3 linked regions of the Tamandua tetradactyla genome follow. The protein of the gene in region 1 purifies or fractionates together with the protein of each later gene. This does not show direct contact. Links are inferred from orthologs where the notes say so. Each region holds a gene or a part of one and is shown on either strand. Other genes may lie near its edges. The genes, in order: AP3M1, AP3S2 and AP3B2.

What was found.
Region 2: the proteins of AP3M1 (region 1) and AP3S2 purify together in Homo sapiens (co-immunoprecipitation; 3 studies listed by BioGRID and IntAct, counting the BioPlex papers as one, with this or other methods). This does not show direct contact. The link is inferred for Tamandua tetradactyla from reciprocal best matches to the Homo sapiens genes AP3M1 and AP3S2.
Region 3: the proteins of AP3M1 (region 1) and AP3B2 purify together in Homo sapiens (co-immunoprecipitation; 3 studies listed by BioGRID and IntAct, counting the BioPlex papers as one, with this or other methods). This does not show direct contact. The link is inferred for Tamandua tetradactyla from reciprocal best matches to the Homo sapiens genes AP3M1 and AP3B2.

Annotation. Positions count from the first base shown.
Region 1 is NC_135339.1:22,542,599-22,550,125, forward strand, and holds the start of AP3M1 (AP-3 complex subunit mu-1), read left to right. Parts: upstream 1-4,135; 5' UTR 4,136-4,266; intron 4,267-4,388; 5' UTR 4,389-4,521; exon of another isoform or gene 4,522-4,529; intron 4,530-7,527. Other genes in the region: ADK (adenosine kinase), read right to left, coding at 3,934-3,998. UniProt on the Homo sapiens protein: Part of the AP-3 complex, an adaptor-related complex which is not clathrin-associated. The complex is associated with the Golgi region as well as more peripheral structures.
Region 2 is NC_135338.1:97,928,464-97,935,884, reverse strand, and holds the start of AP3S2 (AP-3 complex subunit sigma-2), read left to right. Parts: upstream 1-4,169; 5' UTR 4,170-4,268; coding exon 4,269-4,337; intron 4,338-7,421. UniProt on the Homo sapiens protein: Part of the AP-3 complex, an adaptor-related complex which is not clathrin-associated. The complex is associated with the Golgi region as well as more peripheral structures.
Region 3 is NC_135338.1:99,773,377-99,781,205, reverse strand, and holds the start of AP3B2 (AP-3 complex subunit beta-2), read left to right. Parts: upstream 1-4,506; coding exon 4,507-4,619; intron 4,620-7,829. Other genes in the region: uncharacterized protein LOC143652592, read left to right, coding at 292-309, 2,247-2,264, 2,623-2,824, 3,070-3,359, 3,825-3,851.

The sequences.
Region 1 (7,527 bases):
GAAAAGGAAAGACATTTATGAAACATTACTGAGAAAGAAAAGACCAACTTCGATAACTATATGCAGATGGTAAGTGAGTCAAAAATCTAGGTTTCAAACTTTTGAGAAAGGGAGGTTAGTGGTACCATTAATAGATACAGGAGTCATAGGAGAAGATGCAGGCTTAGGGCAAAAGATGAATTTAGGTATATTATCTGATTCTAAGTATCAGAAGGAGATATTCAGTAGGCATTTGAAATTAGGGTCTAAGAGCTTAGAGATAAACAGAAGGAAAGATTACATATACGAAAGTATCCAGTACAAAGCCTGGGCCCCTTAGGCCCTCTGCTTCCGTCAGACCAAACCATCTGTAGTTTCCCAACAGAGTCAACCTTCCCATTTCTGGCTCCAAACTTTCCTATAAAACCAAGCACTTTTCCCCTACTTTACACCTGGCTAAATCCTAGTCATCCTTCAGGATGCTCGGGTATCATTTTCCCAAACCCCACTCATTTCAAACCAAGAGGATAGTACCTGTGTCTCATGTCTTTCTATATATGTACCCAGTTCCTAGCACCATGCCTAAAATAGTAGGCACTTGAAGTAATGACTGAAAGGGCAGATTTGGCAGTTGTTCAACAAGTGCTGCAGGGAGCTGATCCTCTTAGAGGTGACTGCTAAAGAAATGAACTTGGATGAGATTTTCAAAGGAGAGAAAGCAAACTAAGTGGTCCTAAATATAGGTAATCATCACGGAACCTCTTCATTCAGGGAGCAGTTCCCAACAATGGCTCTCAACTTCTTTAAGTTCCAAATACTTCATCTGTAACACAGAGATAATTCCTCCCACCTCATAGGCACTGGGAGCATCAAGTAAGACAGCATATGTAAAGATTAGTATAGAAGGCAGTCCCCACATGGCAAACGTGAAATTGTACTCCAGGAGATTAAATGCATTTTAGTCATAAAAAAAAAAAGATGAGTATAATGCCTGGCATACTATAGGTATTCAATTAATGTACCCTTCTTTACCCCAATCCCAACTGAAAGCATGTTAGAGCCTGCTTCTTTCTTTCCAACTTTAACGACCGCTATACTCTGAAAGTTAACCCAGCCTAGAAAAATAATGGACATTTAAGAGAGGCTAGCCAAGAGGGATGCCTTCCCTACAGCAAAGTTACTCAACCTCAACACTACTAACATTTTTTGGCCAATGATTTTGTTACGGATAGCTGTCCTATGCACCATGGAATGTTCAGCAGCATCACTGAATCCTACCCATAAGTGTAAGTAGCACTTCCACCCCACCCCAGTTGTGACAACCAAAAATGTCTCCAGACTTTACCAAATGTCCCCCTGGGGCAAAATCTTCCCTGAGTGAGAACCACTGCCCTAGCACTAACTGAAATTTCCATAGGGCCTAAATCCTTTCCCCGACATCTAAAGAAATCTATCATAAACTTGTTTCCCCTACTAACTGATTCTACCCAGTAAATTATGCTTAGACTTTATAAGCCATTTCTCTTTAAAGAGTTAACCTGAACTGGAAGTTATTTCGGTTAAGCATGTCATCTCAGGTGATACAGTCCAACCACTCAATGCATTATCATTCTCTGGCAAACTCATAAAATTCAATGAAAGCAGGAACTGTCAATTTTTGTATCTTTGCACAAAATTAAGAGATTTGTCCCAATATTCAACAGTGTCCAATCTTTTATTTGCATCAAGTATTTAAGCTCATGTCTACAGGTGCGAAGATGATACTGTATAAAACCAATTTTAGTTGCCTAAGGATGTTTACAAATTTAAATAGACACTAATGACATACAAACTGCATCATATGTAACTATAATTATGATGTATCACAAGCAAATATATTGCAACAAAATAAAAAGTTATGTATACAAACAAAAAACAAGAGAAAGTTGAAAAACAAAAATTGTATTAACAGTTCACTAGGGTTTTTTTTTTGGTAAATTGAAGTTAATATGTAGAGTATAATAATTAAGAACAGACTTGGAACCAGAATACCTGGATTCAAATCCCAACCCCACCACCTTCTAGATAAGTGACCTTGATCAAATTACTTAATCTCTCTATGTCTGTTTTCTCATCCATAAAATGGAGACAATTATAATAGCCACCTTACAGGATTGTTGTGGGGAGCGAATGAATTACAATAGGTATATTGCTGAAGCAGTGCCTGGGCATGCATATTTAAATATTAAATATTATTGATCCTCATTATTTTTAAGGATTTATAAACAAAAATAAGCATACCTTGGGTGGTATAAAGGCAAATACAATAGAGTAAAGTATCAATGAACCTGCACCCAAATGTTCTGATTTCAGTCGTTTAACCAGTTGTTTCATTTGGGCTTCAATTTTCTCAGCTGTAAAATGCGAGAATTCTTGTCCTCGTTAACTCACAGGGCTGTACAGTGAGATAATAAGTAGAAAAGCACTTTGAAAATGGATGACCATTACATATAAAGTATTATTTTACTAAGGGGAAATCTAAGGTTTATATGTTTGATGAAATAGCAGAAAAAACCTAGTATCTGTCTTCCAATTTGGTGAGGAAAGTTTTGTGAAGGAAACACTAAAAAAGGACAGTCAGAAAAGTATATGCATGCAACTTAGGTAAGTCAGAGGGCCTTTGCTTTACCTTACAGAGCATGAAAGCTTTAGATGAAAACTAGAACATCCTGAGAAGTTAAAAAAAAAAAGTTTATTTTCTAGGCATAAGATAGGCACACTCAACCTTTGAGGGTAGTAGGAATACATTAAAAGCATTGGCAGGGATTTGATATTTTGCCACATGTTACCATGGCCACACTACCAGGCCCCTAAGTGACCTTTTCTTCAATTTTAAGTGTTCATTATTTAGAGCTGAAGAACACTGGTGTTAAAATAAATAGGATACGACTTATTTCAGGAGGGCCCCAACAGGTTTAGTTTGTCTGGTTTTAGATAGAAAAATCACTGACTTTCCACATGCTGTTCAAAATCACCAAATAATTTTGATGTAGCTTTTTATACTTATTAAGAAGGGGAATTTTTTTACCATTGTATTTTTTTATTAGAGAAGGTGTACGTTTACAGAAAATCATGCATAAAATACAGTTCCACATGCTATTCCATTATTAACACCTTGCATTAGTGTGGTGCATTTGTTGCAACTGAAGAAACAATATTTTAATAACTGTATTACTAAGACAGTGCGTGGTTTACTTCAGAGTTCAAGTATTTTCAATAACTTTTTTTAAGTAAAAGTTGCAATGCCAATCCATGCGAGGCAGCTATCAGAGACAGAACTGTGTCCACTGCTGCTAAAAAAGTGCAAAGAAAAAAGAATAATCAACCTTTCCTATCCACTCAGCCAAATGTCAGCCCCGCAATGCCCCGGCGGTGGCGTTGTGGGTCCCTGGCAGAGGATCTTCAAAGTTGCCGGCTGTTAGAGTCTGTGCGAGGAGCAAGGTCAAGGCGCCCTTCCGCGACACTTTCCTAAAAATCCCCAAGAATTCGCAAGTGGTTGTCACTGCCCCAGGGTACAGCAAGCTTAGGGCCTCCTCCCCGGCTAGTCCTCGCGGAAGAGGAGGTAGCCGGCTTGGATTCTGGTCAGGTTCTCATGGGTCGCACCGGCCCAGCTGAAGCAGGCTAGCACGTGGCGCCCGCAGCTTGCCTGCCACCGCCTCTGCCCACAGAACGGACACTCTGATTGGCCAAGGAGGCCGTGAGTCCGAACCGCTCGGGAGCGGACAGCGAATGGGCCAGACAAATTGGGCGGGTAAAGAGGTCGCGACTACGCGGGCAGCTCCTGGGCGCCGGTCCCGCGCGCTGACCCCACACGGGCAGCAGGAAAACACGCAGCGCCCGGCCCGCGCAACCCCACGTGGGCCCTGGCTTGCGGCAGCCGTCGCCACCCTCCTCCCCACGTCGGGGAGCGCTCACCTCAGCGCTCGCGGCGCCTCCACCTTCAGCTTTTTGGGCTTTGGCTCCTCCTCGGTCGCTGCCATCTTCGCCTTCCCACCCCACTTGGCTTGGCTGCGCTCCACCCGCCTCGGCGCTCTGGCCCCGCCCCTGTCACATCACTGCCTCCTTTTCTGCAAAGCACGCCCCTCTCCCCGCCTCTTCAGGGCCTCGCCCAGTCTGGGCCTCTCCCGTCCACAACCAATGGTTTTATCCGTGGTCCCCACAACCAATACCCCGCCCCTTTTTGGCCCCGCCCCGCCTGCGGGGGACCCGAGAATGAGTTAGGCCGCGGATGAGCGCCTGCGCTGGAAGGTGCGAAACCCTTATTCTTCTAGAGGCTGGGTAATCTAGAAGATTTAGATCCTCAACCTTAAGGAACGTCTTTCATCTCGTTTAACGTCTTCTGGCTTTTTTTAATCTTTCCACTACTGCAGACCGAGTCAGTGTCTATGAAGCTGTTAATCAGGCAATCTCCTGAGCACTCCAACTACGGGGTCCTCACGGCCTTCTCAGCTGTCTCAGCCTAGGTCGGGAGAGGACCCGGCACCGAATCACTGACTGGCCCAGGTACCGGGGTGAGTGTGAGGGTGGGGACGGTGGGGGCAATCTGCAGCCTGCGGACAGCTCGGAAAATGGGGAACAGGCTGAATAGCTGGGGCTCCGGACTTCACCTTGGGCGGCGGGAGCGTCTCCGGTGCTGTGGGGAGGGGCCGCGCTCCTTCCTGGCCTCCCGGGCTTTGTAGCCAGCAGGGCCGGAAGGGAGCGATGTACCTGCGGCCCAGTGGTCTCAGAACCTCGGAACTGCGGGTTCAAGCTAGTCTGTCTTCACGCCCTGGAGCGGGAGAAAAGGTCTTGTCACCAGTATTGAGCTTGAAGCAACAACAGCTCGCACCTCAGGTCCGGGCTTCCGTTTTGTAGAACGAAACCCCTGACGAAGTTGAGCGGACGTCCTGTTAGAGGGTGGTGCCGGGATGAGTCTGGGATAGGGAATACAATACTGTAAGAAGGATGTGGCAGTTCTTCAGAAGAGGTGACAGAGAGCTAAACCGATGAGGTGGGAGGGAATACAGAAAAATTATGAGAGATGTCACTGGTTGGATTTGGGTTGAATTTGAAGCTGAAGTTTCTGGCCTAGATGACCAAGGAGAAGATGCTAACTCTAAAGTTGAGAGTTCTCACTTGAAGAAGAAGGAATTTTGTGGAGATCGGATGCTGTGTTTAGTTTAGAATATATCGAGTTTGAAGCAGTAGCTTAGGTGGAGATGGTAGAATAATTTTTAAAAATAATAATAAAAGAAGCCTGGGAATTAAACCGAAAAAAAACTTTCAAGGTGAGAGCCAAAACAGGTGAAGTTTCATAAAATAGCGTAAGAGGTATTTGTTTTGTATGGGGGAATTTTGCCAGTGACTTGAAATGCGGCATAGGTCAATAGAGGAAGTCTGAGAAGAGATCATTGGATTTAATGATTAGGAAGTCATTGATTGAGAGAGATGCTGCAAGTGTTAACTAACCCTTTATCATTTGGGGCAGGAAGCAAAAGATAAACGAGAGTGGTAACATGGGGAAAATATTTGGATGTTTTGTTTTGGGTTTTTTGTTGTTGTTTTTTTAAAAAAGATTACAAAGCATTATGTTTCCAAGCAGTAAGCTAGTAATTAATGTATAAAATTAAAGGTTTAAGAAAGAGAGGTATGATCCCAGAATTGAATGAGGGTACTGGAACCAAATTTACAAGTACAAAATTAATTTAGAAAGATAGGACACTTGAAACTGAAACTGTAGGAAAAGTGAAGCATACAAAGTGAATGAGAAATTAACTGAAACTTGTATATCTTTATATATATACACTTGTTTATCTTTAATAGGAAAGTTCTCTTTACAACAAGGTTAGTTTTTCTCACTGAGTTCTATGATTTTTACATGTTTCTAAACATTCAACATAATGTACTACTGAGAAACATGGCCCTTCTCCTTAGGGAAAACAAATCCTTTCACCTAGTTACCCAATACCATTTTCTCCTTCTTGGGGTCCTCTTTCTTTCACTTATTTCCTCTCTCCTACATCACAAGCCTTCTCACACCTTCTCTTCAGCATTTAAAAATATTCTTCCTCAATTTATGAACTATTCCCACTTATTTTCCTCTCTTTTCATCCCCTTCACAGCTTGACTTCTTGAATATGTCATCTGCTCTCCCTTTATCTCTATTTTTCCCACTTCTTGCTATTTATTACTCAGCCCACTGCAATCTGTCTTTTGTTTCCAGTATTCTACCAAACTACCACTGAAACTGCTTTTACCAAGATCACCAATGTCCTTTATGTGTTAAATCTCTCAGTGAGGACAAAAATTGCTTCTTACAGGATGAAAAAAAATCTTACTTTTCTTATATTTAAAGCACAGTTTACATATAGTACATAAACAAACATACCATATTCTGTGGTATTAAAATTTCATGGATAACTTGATTATAACCCAGTGAGACCTATACTGTAAGATAATACATTTGTGTTATTTTATATAACACTATATATATATATCTTGGGAGGTGGTTTGCAATTATGGGAGATGGTTTGCAATTATGGGAGGAAGAGTCTAAAAGGCCCATCAGAAGGATGATAATGAAAATAAGGTTAAGAAAAACTTAAATGAATAGACAGTTTCAGTTCTTCTTATAGCTTGACTTCTCTGTGCTACTTTTTGTTTACAACACGGTTCTTCTGGAAACACACTAACACACTCTAGTTGGTTGTCAACTTGGCTGACCTCTCAATGTCCATCTTTGTAGTTCTTAACACCTAATATATAAAATGTATTCAAAACTACTTGTTGAGAGAGATTTCAGACCGAGTTGAAAGGTTATGCTGGAGGTTGTTCTTGGGCATTATATAGATATTCCTTTTTGGTTTGTGGTGTGTTAGAGTGACTGGGGGGAAGTACCTGAGGCTGGTATGCTGTGTTCCAGAAGCCTCAATTCTTGGAGACGATTGTATAAAGATATAACTTTTACAGTGTAACTGTGTGATTGTAAAAGCTTTGTGTCTGATGCTCCTTTTTTCCAGGGTGAGGACAGATGAGTAAAATATGGATAAAAAATAAATAGATAATAGGGATAAGGGGTAGAGTAGATTGCATAGATAGAAATGTTGGTAATCAGTGGGAGGGAGGGATGAGGGGTATGGTATGTATGAGTTTTTTCTTTTTCTTTTTGTTTCTTTTTCTGTAATGATGCAAATGTCCTAAAAAATTATCATGGTGATGAATACACAGCTATGTGATAATATTTGTGAGCCACTGATTGTACATCATATATGGAATGTATGTGTGAAGATTTGTCAATAAAAATATTTAAAACAAAACAAAAAACTACTTTTTTGAGTGAATAAATGGTCAAGTATTGCCTGAGAAACAGATGAGTTAGATTCTTTTCTGGTCTCATTCTCTCACTTTGGATATAGGTCTTTCAGTTTCTCCATTCTATTACACATAGAGGGAATACATTTATTCTTTTTCAGTCACTGTCTAGCAGCTATATTTTGACTATTGTAACTGCATTACTGCTGAGTCAGCAGA
Region 2 (7,421 bases), on another chromosome or scaffold:
TTCATGTGCCTTTTGGCCATTTGTATTTCCTCTTCTGAGAGGTGTCTGTTCAAGTCTTTTTTTCATTTTGTAATTGGGTTGGCTGTCTTTTTGTTGTTGAGTTGAACAATCTCTTTATAAATTCTGGATACTAGACCTTTATCTGATATGTCATTTCCAAATATTGTCTCCCATTGTGTAGGCTGTCTTTCTACTTTCTTGATGAAGTTCTTTGATGCACAAAAGTGTTTAATTTTGAGGAGCTCCCATTTATTTATTTCCTTCTTTAGTGCTCTTGCTTTAGGTTTAAGGTCCATAAAACCGCCTCCAATTGTAAGTTTCATAAGATATCTCCCTACATTTTCCTCTAACTGTTTTATGGTCTTAGACCTAATGTTTAGATCTTCGATCCATTTTGAGTTAACTTTTGTGTAAGGTGTGAGATATGGGTCTTCTTTCATTCTTTTGCATATGGATATCCAGTTCTCTAGGCACCATTTATTGAAGAGACTGTTCTGTCCCAGGTGAGTTGGCTTGACTGCCTTATCAAAGATCAAATGTCCATAGATGAGAGGGTCTATATCTGAGCACTCTATTCGATTCCATTGGTCGATACATCTATCTTTATGCCAATACCATGCTGTTTTGACCACTGTGGCTTCATAATATGCCTTAAAGTCCGGCAGCGTGAGACCTCCAGCTTGGTTTTTTTTCCTCAAGATACTTTTAGCAATTCGGGGCACCCTGCCCTTCCAGATAAATTTGCTTATTGGTTTTTCTATTTCTGAAAAATAAGTTGTTGGGATTTTGATTGGTATTGCATTGAATCTGTAAATCAATTTAGGTAGGATTGACATCTTAACTATATTTAGTCTTCCAATCCATGAACACGGTATGCCCTTCCACCTATTTAGGTCTTCTGTGATAGAAAAGCATTTTTTAAAAATGATGTTTGAAAAGGCAAATATGTCAGTTTGCCTTTTCACCCATTACTAGGGTGCTTAAACTATTTTCATGGTTTTTTTTTCCTAGATGTATTTCCTCTTGTTACTCAGTTCCTTTAGCTATCTATCAGAGGTCTTATCTTTTTTGTTTGTCTGGCTTATTGATATTTTAAAGATAACTATTTACCATATTTTAACAACTGTATTCCATTTAAAAAATTGTTTATAAACATAAAATCTTTATATAGATATATCTGCTGGCCCATTTTGGTTATTATCTGGTTTTACACTTAACTCTTTAATCATCCATCCTGCCTTTGTGTGAAGGTAAAAAGTGAGGTACCTAAATTTCTTACTTTCAAATTGCTAACGAGTTATCTCAACAGCATTTACTGAATCCTTCCACTGTCAAGTCATGATGTCTTTCCTCCATCACATGTTAAAGCTATTTTATACTTAAATTACCCATTATAGTTCAATAAATCTCCTTATCATTATAATTCGAATGATCATAGTAGGTTTTAATAGTTGCTAGGGCTAGTTCCCCCTTATTTTTCTGTTTTTGATATTCGTCCTCAATATTTGAAACATTGCATCAAGTTTTAGGTCAAATTATTTTTTATTAAAATAATAAGCTGAAAAAGAGACTAGATTTCAATTCCAGATAAAATGAAGTTGATCTGGTTGGGACAAGGATACATCAGAATACAGGGTAAAGGATGATACTGTCTGTATTTTAGAACTTCACGTACTGTATGAGACCAAAGGAAAAGATGTTCATTCTGTCCGAAACTTTAATTTTTTGTAGCGCACAATCTAACTTACCCCATCTGGTCAGTTCATTTAAACAGCCTAAGCACATGGAGCCTAGAATTGTGATGAGAGCTTCTCAGTCTGTATAGCTGTAATTCTGTATAGCTTAATGTAATATCTTGATACATTCCAGAGTATTTTGGGAAGATCAGTAAAACATATTGGCAAAGTCTCTTGAGGGTCAGGAGGTAAAATATGGAACAGTTAAACCTCCTCACCTGGGAAAACCCTGCTACTCTCAGACATTTCGGATTCCCACATTAATAAGGCAAGCCCTTGATCTTGAGGTTTGCTCTTATGAAACTTGTTTCTGTAATGGGGAAGCTAAGCCTACCTACAATTTCGCCTAAGAGTCACTTCCAGAGAGACCCTCTTTTGTTGCTCAGATGTGGCCTCTCTATCTTTAAGCCCAGCTCTGCTAGGAAACCCGTTACCCTCCCCGCTACATGAGACGTGAGTTCCAGGGATGCGCCTAGCCCTGGCTCCGTGGGATCCACAATGTCTGCCTGACCAAAAGGGGGAAAATAAATGGAACAAAATAAGGAATCAGTGGCTAAGATATTTCAAATAGAGTCGAAGGCTATTCTGTAAGTTACTCTTAAGCAAGCTTCAGCAAGATGATGCTAATTGCCACAGTATGCCAAGCCCCATACTGCTGGTATTCCTGAATGCCCAGGGCTCTATCTAAGGCTCTATAAAAGTTTCACTCGCAAAATTTATTTTTCAGAAACTTAAAACTTCCAGATGGTTTCTATGCTAGATAAGTCGTGAAACCCGGAGGCACCAGTCCCTCCAAGAACATCAACTAGTTGCATGCCCCTACCCCATTAGGTTGACACCCCTTTTTGACATGAAGAAGCTAGAATGGTCATTGCCCAAATACCCCTGAAGATTGGGAAAGGAATCAAATGAGAGGGAGGAGGTGTGCCAGAGAAGATAAGATTTCTTTCTTGTTAGTCTCTAGTATATTAGAACAGCTTAGAAATACCTGAATTGTGGAAATGTAACCGATACCATATTTTGATATTTGCTCTATAACTGCTTGTTAAGCTATAATTTGAGATTTGTTACTTTTCTGCATCTGTTGTTTCACAATAAAAAAAAGTTTAAAAAAGTAAAAAAAAAAATTAAAATTATGTGACTAGAAGAGCAATTCCTATTTATTTTAGAAAATAAAAAAAGAAAATCTATGATCCTACAACCCAAAGATATTTTAAGTCACTTATATAGCACTCAATTATGTGTCATACAGCTGCTCCAAGTGCTTACAAATATCAACTCCTTCTGTGCTTATAACAACTGTCTGAGCTAAGCAGAGTCATTTTCATAGTTTTACAGTTAGGGAGACTGATATTACACCTATTTTACAGGTGAAAAAACTGGCCCAAGACCCCCAGGCTGTCAACAAAGCCAGGATTTGAATCCAGGCAGTGTGGTTCCAGCAGCCTGTGCAGAATACTCTATAAAACTTCTATCCCATCAGATACAAAGTATTACTTTTATTTTGGTGTATCTACTTCCAATCTTTATATATATAATTTACAAAGTGGGATATCCCTATAAAATCTTTGTGCAATCTTTTCATTTACAGATGTACCATGAACATTTCCCTGTATTTCTAATATGCATGGGGAACTATGCATTAACCATTTACTTATTTTGGAATAATTAGCTTCCCATTTTTCCCTGCAATAACACAGCCAAGTTATATATTCTTGAGGCTAAATCATTTTTTGCCCCACTTATTTTATTATAAATTCTAGAACTGGAAATTCGGGGTCTAACATATACAATTTAAAGACTGCCGATACAGACTGCCAAACTGTTCTCTGGATAGGTGATTTCAATTTGCAGCTTTATCCGAAATAAACGGTCCTTGCTCATTTCTCTACGCCTCCTCCCCTAGGTATGAAAAGAAAAAACAAAACAAAATGTACTAATCTGGGATCTCCAGTGCCTTTTTACTGGAATAGCACTGAATTCATTCCACTATTCACTGTCTACCATGGAGAAACATCAGCCTGCTGCGAGAAGAGACAGCTACATAGTTCGCCCCATCGTCTGTAGCGCCGAAAAATAAAAACGGCCTAAATATTTCGCGTCAGGAAATGGCTAAATTAAGCGGCCCGTCCACCGCGGAGCGCTAGCGGGAGGCTGGCCGGGACAGAGGAAGTTCTCGCCGCGCTTCGGAGTTTCTACCTCGGGATCCGCCTTTCCGACGGCCTGGGACTCGCGGGCGAGCGGCGGGCCTGGACGACCGGCACGGGCCCGGGTTCGCGTCCCGGCGGGGGCCGAGGGGCCCAACCCCGCCTCTGCCCGCGCACCTGCCCGCCTCGGAGCGGCGTCCAGCGCGCGCGGAGAGCCCGGCCACTCAGGTCCCCGGCCCCTGGGCGCCGGGAGCCGGTTTCCGCCAGCTGCTCTCGGCCGCGCACCGAACGGAAGTGGCCGTGAGCACCGGCCGGAAGTGGCCGTGCGCGGCGGAAGGAGCTGCTCTGAGGGTAGCGGGTGTTGAAGGTGGCGCGGCCGGGGAAGATGATTCAGGCGGTTCTGGTGTTCAACAACCACGGGAAGCCGCGGCTGGTCCGGTTCTACCAGCGTTTCGTGAGTGCGGGCGGGTTTTGCCACGCTCCTCTAGGGCCTCCGGTCCCTCTTCTTCCGCCCCGGGCCCATCCGGCTGCAGCGCCCCCGCCGACCGCCTCGGGCTCCTGCCCGGAGCGGGACCCTCAGCCCCTCTTCGCCTCCTACCCCGCGTGGGGCAGAGGCAGGCCTTGGTGTTGGGCCCAGCCCCGCAGCCCCCCAGCCCCGCAGCCCCGCAGCCCCGCGCGCCTCCTGCCCCCCGCCTGTGCTCCTGCTCGGCTGTGCCATTTCGTGTCTCTTCCCACTGGGTCTCCCTGCAGCAGGTGTAAACGCCTTGGGTGCGGGCGGCGGGCCTCGGTGGGGGTTTGAATGGCCAAGCGCTTTAATCTTGTTTGTTGGGTACCCAGTTTTACAAGAAGGAAACAGCGTTCCACCGCTTAGCGTTTTTACTGTGGACATACGGTCTGGAAAGTTCTTTTTCGGGATTCTTTTGTTTCAGTGTTGGGACTGCCCTGGAGTCCAGATACGCTTCAACCTCCTTGGTTCACCCATCTCTAGCTTCTATGTTTCTCTAAGTTCCCTATTTTCTGTATTATAAGCCTCTGATTATACCTTTATGCTGGTTGTAGAAGTGGACTCATACAGTATCTGTCCTTTTGTGTCTGGCTAACTTCACTCAGCATTAAGTCCTCAAGGCTCATCCATCTTGTCATGTGCTTCAGGATGCCATTTTGCCTTATTGCTGCATAATATTCCATCATATGTCTGTACCACATTTTGTTGATCCACTCGTCTGTTGATGAGCATTTGGTTTGTTTCCATCTTTTGGTGATTGTGAAAATGCTGCTATGAACATTGGTATGCAAATGTCTGTTTGTGTCATTGCTTTCAGCTCTTCTGGGTATATACCAAGTAGTGCTATTGCTGGGTCATAGGGCAACTCCATATTTAGTTTCCTAAGGAGAGAAGTTACCAAACAGTCTTCCATAGAGGCTGCGCCATTATACATTCCCACCAGCAGCCCCTGAGTGTCCCACCACTGTGGCTTTATAATAGGTTTTAAAGTCAGGGAGTGTTTATCTGCTCACTTCATTTTTCTTTTTAGAATGCATTTAGCTGTTTGGGGTCTCTTTCCCTAACAGATGAATTTGGTAGTTAGCTTTTTCAAATCTTCAAGTAGGTTGTTGGAATTTTGATTGGTACTGTGTTGAATCTGTAGATCAGTTTGGGAAGAATTGACATCTTAACTATAGTTAGCCTTCCTGTCCATGAGCAAGGAATGTCTTTCCACCTATTTTGATCACCTTTGATTTCTTTTAGCAATGTTACATAGTTTTCTGTGTACCAGTCCTTTATGTCCCTAGTTAAGTTCATTCCTAAGCTTTGATTCTTTTAGTTGCTATTTTGAATGGAATTTTTTCCTTAACTAATTCCTCAGCTTGCTCATTGCTTGTGTATAGAAAAAAAGTTACTGATTTTTGCACATTAATTTTATATCCTGCCACCTTGTTGAATTTGTTTATTAGCTCAAGTAACTTTGCTGTAGATTTCTCGGGATCTTCCAAGTGTAGTATCATACCATTTGCAAATAATTAGAGTTTTACTTCTTCCTTTCCAATTTGGATGCCTTTATTTCTTTGTCCTGCCTGATTGCTATAGCTAGAACTTTGACCACAATGTTGAATAATAGTGGTGACAGTGGGCATCCTTGTCTTACCTGAGGGAAGGTTTTCAGTCTCTCTCCATTGAGTACGATGCTGGCTATGGGTTTTTCCTATATTTCCTTTATCATATTGACGTAGTTACCTTTGATTCCTCTCTTTTGGAGTGCTTTTATCAGAAAAGGATGCTGAGTTTTGTTGAATGCTTTTTCAGTAACAGTCGAGACGATCATGTGATTTTTTTCCCTTTTGACTTGTTAATATACTGTTACAAAAAAAAAATATATATATATATATATATATACTGTGTTACATTAATTGATTTTCTTGTGTTGAAACATCCTTGCATTCCTGGTATAAACCCCTCCTGGTCATGGTGTATAATTCTTTTAATGTGCTGTTGGGTTAGATTTGCTAATATTTTATTAAGGATTTTTGCATCTATGTTCATTAGGGTGATTGGCCTGTAGTTTTCCTTTCTTATAGCATCTTACCCGGTTTTGGTATTAAAATATTAGCTTCATAAAATGAGTTAGGTAGAGTTCCTTTTTCCTCAATTTTTTTGAAAAATTTGAGCAGAATTGGTCTTAGTTCTTTCTGGAATGTTTGATAAAGTTCCCTGGTGAAACCATCTGGCCCTGAGCTTTTCTGTGTAGGAAAATTTTTGGACTGATTGAATCTCTTAATTTGTGATTGATTTGTTGAGATCTTCTATTTCTTCCTGAGTCAGTGTAGCTTGTTTTGTGTGTCTCCAGGAATTTGTCCTTTTCATCTAAGTTGTCTAGTTTGTTGGCTTGTATCGTACTATCCTCTTATGATTTCTTCAAGGTTTGTGGTAACGCACCCCTTCTCATTTCTAATTTTGTTTATTTGCATCATCTCTCATTTTTCTTTGTCAGTCTTGCTAGTGGCCCATCAATTTTATTGATTTCTCAAAGAACCAACTTTTGGTTTTATTGATTCTTTCTATTGTTCTTTTGTTCTCCCATTCATTTATTTCGGCTTTAATCTTTGCTATTCTCTTCTCCTATTTGTTTTGGTGTTAGTTTGCTGTTCTTTCTCAAGTTCCTCCAGGTTTGCTGTTAAGTCCTCAATTTTTGCTCTTTCTTGTTTTTTGGTATAGGCATTTAAGGCAAAAATTTCACTCTCAGCCCAGCCTTTGCCACATCCCATAAGTTCTGAAAAGTTGTGTTCTCATTTTCATTCATCTCCAAATAGCTACTGGTTTCTCTAGCAATTTCTTCATTGACCCACTGGTTGTTTAAGAGTATATTGTTTATTCTCCATATACTTGTGAATGTTCTTATTCTTTGGTGGTTATTGAGATCCAGCGTCATCCCATTTGATCAGAGAAAGTACTTTGAATAATTTCAATATTTTTAAATTTATAAAAACCTGTTTTGTGCCCCAGTGTATGCTCTATCCTGAAGAATGTTCCGTGAGTAGT
Region 3 (7,829 bases), on another chromosome or scaffold:
CCCCTTCCCCGCCCTCCCTCTGTCCAGCCCACAGAGGGCTCCCAGTGCCTCCCAGCGCTCCTGGACCCAGCCTGCAGGCTTACTGTCCCCAGTTCACACCTGAGGAGGTTGAGGCCCACCTTGGGTCCGCACAGAGGGGAGGGCCAGCCACAGCTGCGCTGCCCAGGCCCGGGCCCAGCGTCCCAGATGGACACATCGACTCCACAGTCATGGCCCCACAGGGTTGGGGGGATGGGAGTGGTCTCACCTCCTCCCTGGCCTGGTGGTGACAGCAGGTTTTTTCCTTCCTAGATGAGCTGCACATCCCAGGTAACTGGAGCAGAGGTCCTCACCTCATCTCTTCTCCCCAGCAAGGGCCGGGCCTCCCCCCACAGCTGTCACCTCTCTTGGCCCAGTGGGGGTGGGGAAGGGGAGGCAGCGGCCTGGTGCCTGCCCTGCTTGGGGCATCGCAGGAGGCCAGGGCTGAGGGCCACTCGTGCCTTTGGGTCTCCGTGCTGTCTCCTGAGGTTGAGAGGGATTGGGGGGCGGGCGGTTAACTGAACCAAGGGTGACCCACCATCCGGGTCTTCCTGGTTCCTGAGATGCTGGACTTTTAAGACCTGGAAGCTCCCACACCAACTAGGAGGAGCTGAGGACACTACCCACTGGGCCAAAGCTCGCAGTCAGGGAAATGAGACTCACCCAGTGATGAGCAGTGGGGACCGGGAGGGGAAGGAAAGGAGGGTCAGGGACAGGAGAGGACAGTGAGCCAGTGCTGCCTGGAAGAAAGAGTCCTGCCTGAAAATAAACGGCAGCGGCCGGCAGCGGCCCTGTGTGTCCAGGCCTCTGAGGCCCCTGCCACTCAGCCTGACCGTTTGGGGGATCAGACACAGCCGGCCGCTCCCCCAGGATCCCCTGGGCGCTGAGGCCCCTGCAGTGCACCCCAAGTCACCCTCGAGCTGCTTCCCAAGAGGGGGAAGCAGAGGGAGGGGGCGACCCATGACGAGCCTCACCTCGGTGGGCCACGGGGCCAGCTGGGCTTGGGCTAAGTGCTCTGGACACCCACAAGGGCCAGAATGTCACGTGACCCACCTGGGCTGGCCTTGGTGCCACCACCCAGTGGGAGGCTGTCTCCCTTTTCTTCATAAGGAAACAGGTGGAGAGACATTCAGTGACCTCCTTTGTCCTTTGGCCTCGTGGCCAACGGGACAGACAGCCTAGGGGGGAAGGCCAGGCCCTTAGCTATATGGCAGAGCAAAGGGAGGTGCAGGGTTTGGGAATACCAGGCACTCGCAGCTTCTCTGTTGCTGCCTCGGTTCTGATGCTCCATTGCCCGGGTGCCCAGAGCAAGGGGCTGAGCCTTGACTCATCTCCCCTCCCAGTCCGGATGCGGGAGACACCTCCTCCCCAGACCAGGCAGACCAGGGGCTGGGGCGCAGTGGCACTTAGTGCCCTTGACCTCAAACTGGGTCCTCACAGGGCTCTCCTTTGACAGTGTACCCTAGGTTTCCTCTGCATTTTAACCTGCAGGGGCGGGGGCACTTCACCTGCCTAAGTGTGCTCCTGCTTTCTTGGGGGGTCAGTCCCCCTCACCTGGACTGCTGGGCACAGCTGTGGTGGCACCAGTCTGGGGAGCCAGGGGGGCTGCAATCCAGCCCACACTCAACTGGTCACAGCAATGCCCTAGCGGGACTGAACAGGTCTAGATAAGGGGCATTAAAAACGCCAGGAAGACGCCGTGTGGCTCTAGGCAGCGGGCGCCTCTCCCACATGTGGGTCCTTTCCCACCTGAACCCCAGCAGCAGCAGTCAGCACCCCTCAGAGATGCCGGGCCCCGGGCTTGGTGGGCCACATCCTCCTCCCAGCTCCGCCTGCTGGTGAGCCCAGTGCCCGGCAGGTGGGGGATGGGTGAGCCCCCCAAGTTCTAACAGCCCCTCATTCCTAATCAAGACAGGAGAAAGCTGCATTAAGCGTATTTCTCACTTCCTTATAGAGAAGAGAAGGCAACTGACGGGGAGAGAGAACATGGAACCCAGAGTCACGCAGGCAGATGCTAGCTGTGGGAGCCCCAGGGAGTTCACCTCCGTGAACTTCAAGTTTCCTTATCTTGAAAATGGGCTTACTGTCCCCAGCTGGTAGGATTGTATTAAGGATCAAACGGGCGGCCACTCAGTGGCTGCTGAGGTTGCTGGGGGTCTTTCTCTGCCCTGGCTTTGGAGGAGATGCCTATGCAGACTCAGATCTCACCCAGCTTTCTGTTTCTTCAGGTGTTGTGTTCCACTGAGGTAAGCGCTGAGACCCAGACCTCACTCACAGGTGGGAGGTAGCTGGGGGAAGGGACCCTGGAGCAGGGGGACAGAACAGAGAGGCTGGAATGAGGAGACCACAGTGGGTCGGGAGGGGGGCGTCCAACTGCTGGAAACAGAGGGCTTCTCAGAGGTGGCTCAGGGCAGGACTTAGCCACCACACCCAGCGGCCTGGAGTCCCTAAGTCCAGCGAGGCTGGTGCCGTGCAGGAAACGCATTCCCATATGGGCCCAGCCCCCAGCCGGTTCTCCCTGTGCCCCGGGCGGGCCACCTGACCCCACGGTCGGTGGAACGGCCGCGTGTCTCCTGCACTGGCCGTGAGTCCCCTGTCCCCCAGGCGCTGACTGGGGCGGTCGCCACCATGAAGTTCTTCCTCGCCGAGGCTATCCTGGGCCAGCACTTTGAGGCCGTGGAGCTGGGAGGCGGGGAGCCCGAGCCCGGCGACCTCTTCCTGTTCAGAATCGCGTCCCCCAAGGGCCGCTGGTGCGGGGCCCACGTGGGCGTGTACTGCGGCCACGGCGAGATCATCCACTTCGAGGGTGAGCGCCTCGGGCTGAACCCCGGGCCCGGGCCGGCGGTGAGGGGCTGTCACGTGCCACCCGCGGGCGGGCCACATGGGGACGGGGGCTGCGGGTCTCTAAAGATGGGGCCAGAGCACGCAGGGCACCGGACTCAGGACTTCGGGGCCCCGGGACACGGGGTGCATGGTCACGGGGACGCGAGCTGGGAAGTCCGACGTGTGGGGCGCTGAGATTTAAAGCTGGCTGCGATTTGCACCCCGCAGGCAGGCACCCCGGAGGTCGGGACCCGCACAAGTTGCTGGGCTCCTGGGAAGGCGTCGTGTGCAAGCAGGGTGAGCGGCCACTCCTGCGCTCCCGCTCACTCTGGCGCGTGCTGCGTAGACGCGGCGGCGTGGACCGCGCTGCGCTGCAGAGACGCGTGCGCGAGGCCATGGACTCGGACCCGCCTCCCTACCACCCCACGCGCAGCAACTGCGTGCACTTCGCGCTGCACTTGCTCGGCCACGACCCCAGCCTGGCCCCTCTGTGGGCGGGCCGGAGCCCCAGCGGCTCGGTGAGCTGGGCCCCACTGACCACGCGGCCCCACTCCGGAGCCGGCTCACAAACGCGGAAACCCAACGCGCCCCGGCAAAATCCCCCCGCAGCCCGCAGGCCAGGTTCCTCCAAACTCAGGATCCGCTTTGGGGTCTGGCCCAAGGCCTCAGAACCAAGCCAGGCCAGCACTCGCCGAGGTTGCCCCCCTCCGAAAGCCTCGAGGGTCCGCTCCACAGCGGCGCCTCCGGCCCACAGGTCCCCTCCACACCTATATCCTAAAACTGAAGTTCAGAGGTCAGTGCCCAAGCCCAGGCCCGGCACCCCATCCAGGCGCACTAGCATTCCCCGGGAGCGCCTGCCCCGTCCAACGTGGCCACTGCCTCCCAGCCGACGGGTCCAACACGTAATCCTAGTGTGCAGCCCAGCCTCGGCCCTGGTGGTCGCACCAGACCTAACTAGCGCCCTTCCCTTCCCTTCCTTCCAGGTGTTGGTGGACGTGACTCTGGATTAGACGGAGACCGTGGGCCGCCAGGGTGGGCTTGGGGGCTTCAGAAAGAGTCAATAAACTGCTCCCCAAAGCAGGACTCGGGCTCACCGTCTTCTCTCCGCTCCCCTTCTCTCTGCCCTCCATGGGCTCAAATTCCACCAACTCCAGGAAGCCTCGGGGGCGCAGTCAGGGGGTCCTAGCATCAGAGGAATGTGGGGTGGGAAGAAGGAGCGGGCTTAGGTGCCTGAGGCTGGCTCGGGTGCGGCGCCCCCCCCCGCAGCCCGCAGGCCCAGCCTACGCCTCAGTCCGCCCTTTTCCATCCCCAGCGCGGGGTGGGGGGCGGGAGGCGAGCGCAGGCAGCTGCGCCCGGAGGAGCCCCCTCGGAACGCCCACCCGGGCCTCCACCCGCCCGGGCCCAGGAGGAGCGTCATCCCTTTAAGAGGCGGCGGAGGGGCCCTCCCGGGACCGCGCTTCCTCGGGCCGCGGGCTGCGCGCCCGCCCCGCCCCGCCGCGCCGGCGCCCTGCGCGCCCCGAGGCCCCGCGCCGCCCCCGGCCCGGCCCGCGCAGCCCGAGGCGCCTCTGCCGAGCCCGCGCCGCTGACCGCCTCGCCCGGCCCGGCCCGGCCCGCGTCTCTCCCCGGCCGCGCAGCCTCGCCCCGGCGGAGCCGGTCCCCGCATCCATGTCGGCCGCGCCCGCCTACAGCGAAGACAAGGGCGGCTCCGCTGGCCCCGGCGAGCCCGAGTACGGCCACGACCCGGCGAGCGGCGGCATCTTCTCCTCCGACTATAAGCGGTGAGGGGGCCCCGGGGGACGAGGCCGGCGCTGCCCACCCGGGCCTGGGCCCGGCCGGCGCTTCCGCTCCGGCACCATGGACAGCGCCCGCGGCCCGCCCGCCGCCCCAACCCGGCCCGACCCGGCGAGGAAACCCGCGCCCCACGGGAGACCCGCGCCCCACGGGAGACCCGCCCCCCGATGCCGGCATCCCTGCCCGGAGGGGCCGACCTGGAGTCCGGGAGATGGGGGGTGCACGGAGGCTGGGGGCGGTCTGGGGTGGGTGCCTCTGGGAGGAGCACCCCTCTCCCCCAGGGCTTCCTCTTTGTGTGGGGTTGGAGTACAGGTTCCCGGGCCCGTGGGCTCTGCAGGAACGTGGGGGGGGGATCAGCGCGCGCGAGCTGGCCGGGGGGTCGGGGGAGGGGGGGGCACCCTGGACCCGGAGCTCGCCACCCGCCCTCCTCCTCCTCCACGCGCGCCCGCACGTCGCCCCTCTAGGCCGACCGTCCTTGGCCCCGGCCTCAGACCCCCACCCTGACCCCGCCCCCGCCCCGGACTCTCCTTCTTCCTCATTTCTGAACCAAACATTTTCTAAGGGTGGCCGGAGCCCCTCGCTGGGCACCCTCAGCCGCGAGCGTGGCCAGCCTCAGCCCTACGCCTCTCTAGGGGGACGCACAACAGGAAGCCATGATAACTGTGTGGTGGGGACACCGAGCGTCCAGGGGGGCTGGGCCTGGTGCTGGTCAGCGGGGTGGGGGTGGGGGAGGGGGGGTGGGGAACATTCAGGCAGGAGGGGCTCTGCCCGCGGGTGGGCCGGGTTCGGTGGGCCCAAGGGCTGTAAGATCACAGCCACCGCACTCCCTGGAGGGTGGGGCGGAGGGGCAGGTTGCTGGGGGGGGGGGCGGGGAACTCGGGGTTGGGGGGGCGGCTTCCAGCAGTTTGAAGGTGCTGGCATCGGATCCGCTTTTTAGAAGGCTCCCAAGAGGACGGTGGACACCGCGGGGAGGTGACGTGGGACACGCAGGGTGCCCGACTAGGGCATGGGTGACGAAAGGAGGCTGTGAGGCGGTAGGAGCCACAGGCCTGACTGGCTGGACTGGGCGTGCCCTGTTCCCGCCCTCCCCCGCCCCCAGGGGGCCTTGCCTCTGAGCCGAGCCCTGGAAACCAGAGCTCCCCCTCGCCGTGTCCGGTGTCTGAGTCGCTGGGGCCGGCCTTTGGTGCCTGCCGCGGGTCAGCTCAGCCCCGGTCAGCTCAGCCCCAGTCCTGGGCAGAAGCTGTGGCCCCATGCAGCGCTTCCTGCAGCTCCCCGGGACCCAGGGCTCCCGTGGGGCCGACCAGGAGGCCACCAGCCCCGTGCTGGCCCCTGAAGGGGGAACTCCGCCCTGGTACCAGGCCCTGCAGCCGGAGGAGCTGCGGTGTCTGAAGGCCCCGGAGGAAGACACAACCCCAGAGGCACCCCAGGAAGGTCCCTGCCCAGAGTTTGGCCAGGGCCTGAGCCAGCCGCTGCGGTACGGGGGACCCCCAGGGCGCCCACCCCGACGGCTGGGGAGGCAGTGATGGGCAGCTGCCACCCTCAGCTTGGACTTCTTCAAGTGCACCCCCTCGGGTGGAGGAGGGCTGGGCTGGCAATTAGGGCCCAGGCTGGGGCTCGGGGAGGGGAGGGCACAGGGCACGGAGGGGGGGGCAAGTGTGCATGGGGCTCACGGATTTGGGGCTCTGGGGCAGGTGGGGGTGAGGCACGTGGCTCCCTGGAGGCTCTGGGGAGGAGGATGGGAAGGTGTCTGAGGACTGAGGTCCCACCTTGATCCTTCCCTGGCCCCAGCCCTGGACGGGGGTGGGGGAGCACGGAGGGCAGGATAAAGCACAGAGGGTTCGGCCAGCTCTTCCCGTGAGTGGGCTGGAACATGGGTGCTGAGGGGACAGAGGGCGATGCAGCCCAGGGATGCCGAGCGGGCTGGCCTCAGTCATGCTGAGCCCCTGGCTGGCTCCAGCGGCCCCCCGGGCAGGTCCTTCCGCTGGGCCAGGGCAGGTCACAGTGCTATATAAGGGATCTGACTGGGAGTTTAATGTTTCATGGCCTTCGGGTGTTGCTAGGCAGCTCTCCCTTCCTCTTCCTCTTCCTCTCAAGACTCTGAGCTGTTGGGGTCCAGGATGGGGGACCTGTGGCCCACCCAGGAGGGTGCTGCTGTCTGAGTTCGTGGGCTAAGGAGTGTCTCAGTCGGACAGTCCCTCCTGGCCATGCTCTGTCACCTTTAGCCAGCGGTCGTCCTCTCCCTCCATCCTCCTGTGCTTGGGCTGGAGCCTCGTGCCTGGAATGGGACCCCAGTGCCTGCCAGGGTGTGTGCGTTTTGACAGCAGCCTGTGGCATTTGTGGGTGTGGTGACGCTATCTGGGCATAAGGCCGTGTGCTTAAGAACCACCCAGAACTAAAGCAACTGGAAAACCAGCCACTCCCCACGAAGCACTGTGAAAAGCCACGGCGGTGACACAAGAGGGCACGGGGCCTTGTGGGGACGGCCAGCTGACCCTCAGGGGCCCTGAGGCTGCCTGGGTTTGAGCTGAGAAGCCTGAGTCTGTCGTAGAGAAGTTCAAATAGGAGGCCACTGGCCCTTAGCTGAGTGAGAGTGGAGTGCCCAGGTGTGTCAAAAAGGTGTCTGTGTGGTGGTGTGTGTGGTGTGACTGTGCTGTATTTGTCAAGGAGATGTGTTGGGGTGGGGTGTCTGAGGATGTGTGAGAGTGTGTGCATGTGTGTCTAGGTGTGTCTGTAGGGTGTGTGCGTCTATAGTGTATGGCTGTAGGTGTGTGTCTGCAAGGGGTGTGTGGCTGTAGGATGTGTGTGTCTGTAGGGTGTGTGTGGCTATAAGGTGAGTGTGTCTGATGCTTGTAGCTGTGGCTGTAGGGTGTGTGTTTCTGTAGGGTATATGGCTGTAGGGTGTGTGTGGCTGTAGGTGTGTGTGGCTGTAGGGTGTGTGTGGCTGTAGGGGTGTGGCTGTAAGGTGTGTGGCTGTAGGGGGTGTGGCTGTAGGGGGTGTGTGGCTGTAGGGTGTGGCTGCAGGGGCTGCATGTCTGTAGGGTAAGGGTGCAGGTGTGTCCATAGGCAGGTGGCTGTGCCTGGGGTGTGACTGTGGCTGTGGGTTGTGTTGGGGGCTGTATGTTGGTGGTACATTCCTTTTGCAGGGGTGTTGGGTGTGTGAAGGTCTGCGGGGTGTGCCCCGGGGGTCCTAGGGAGGC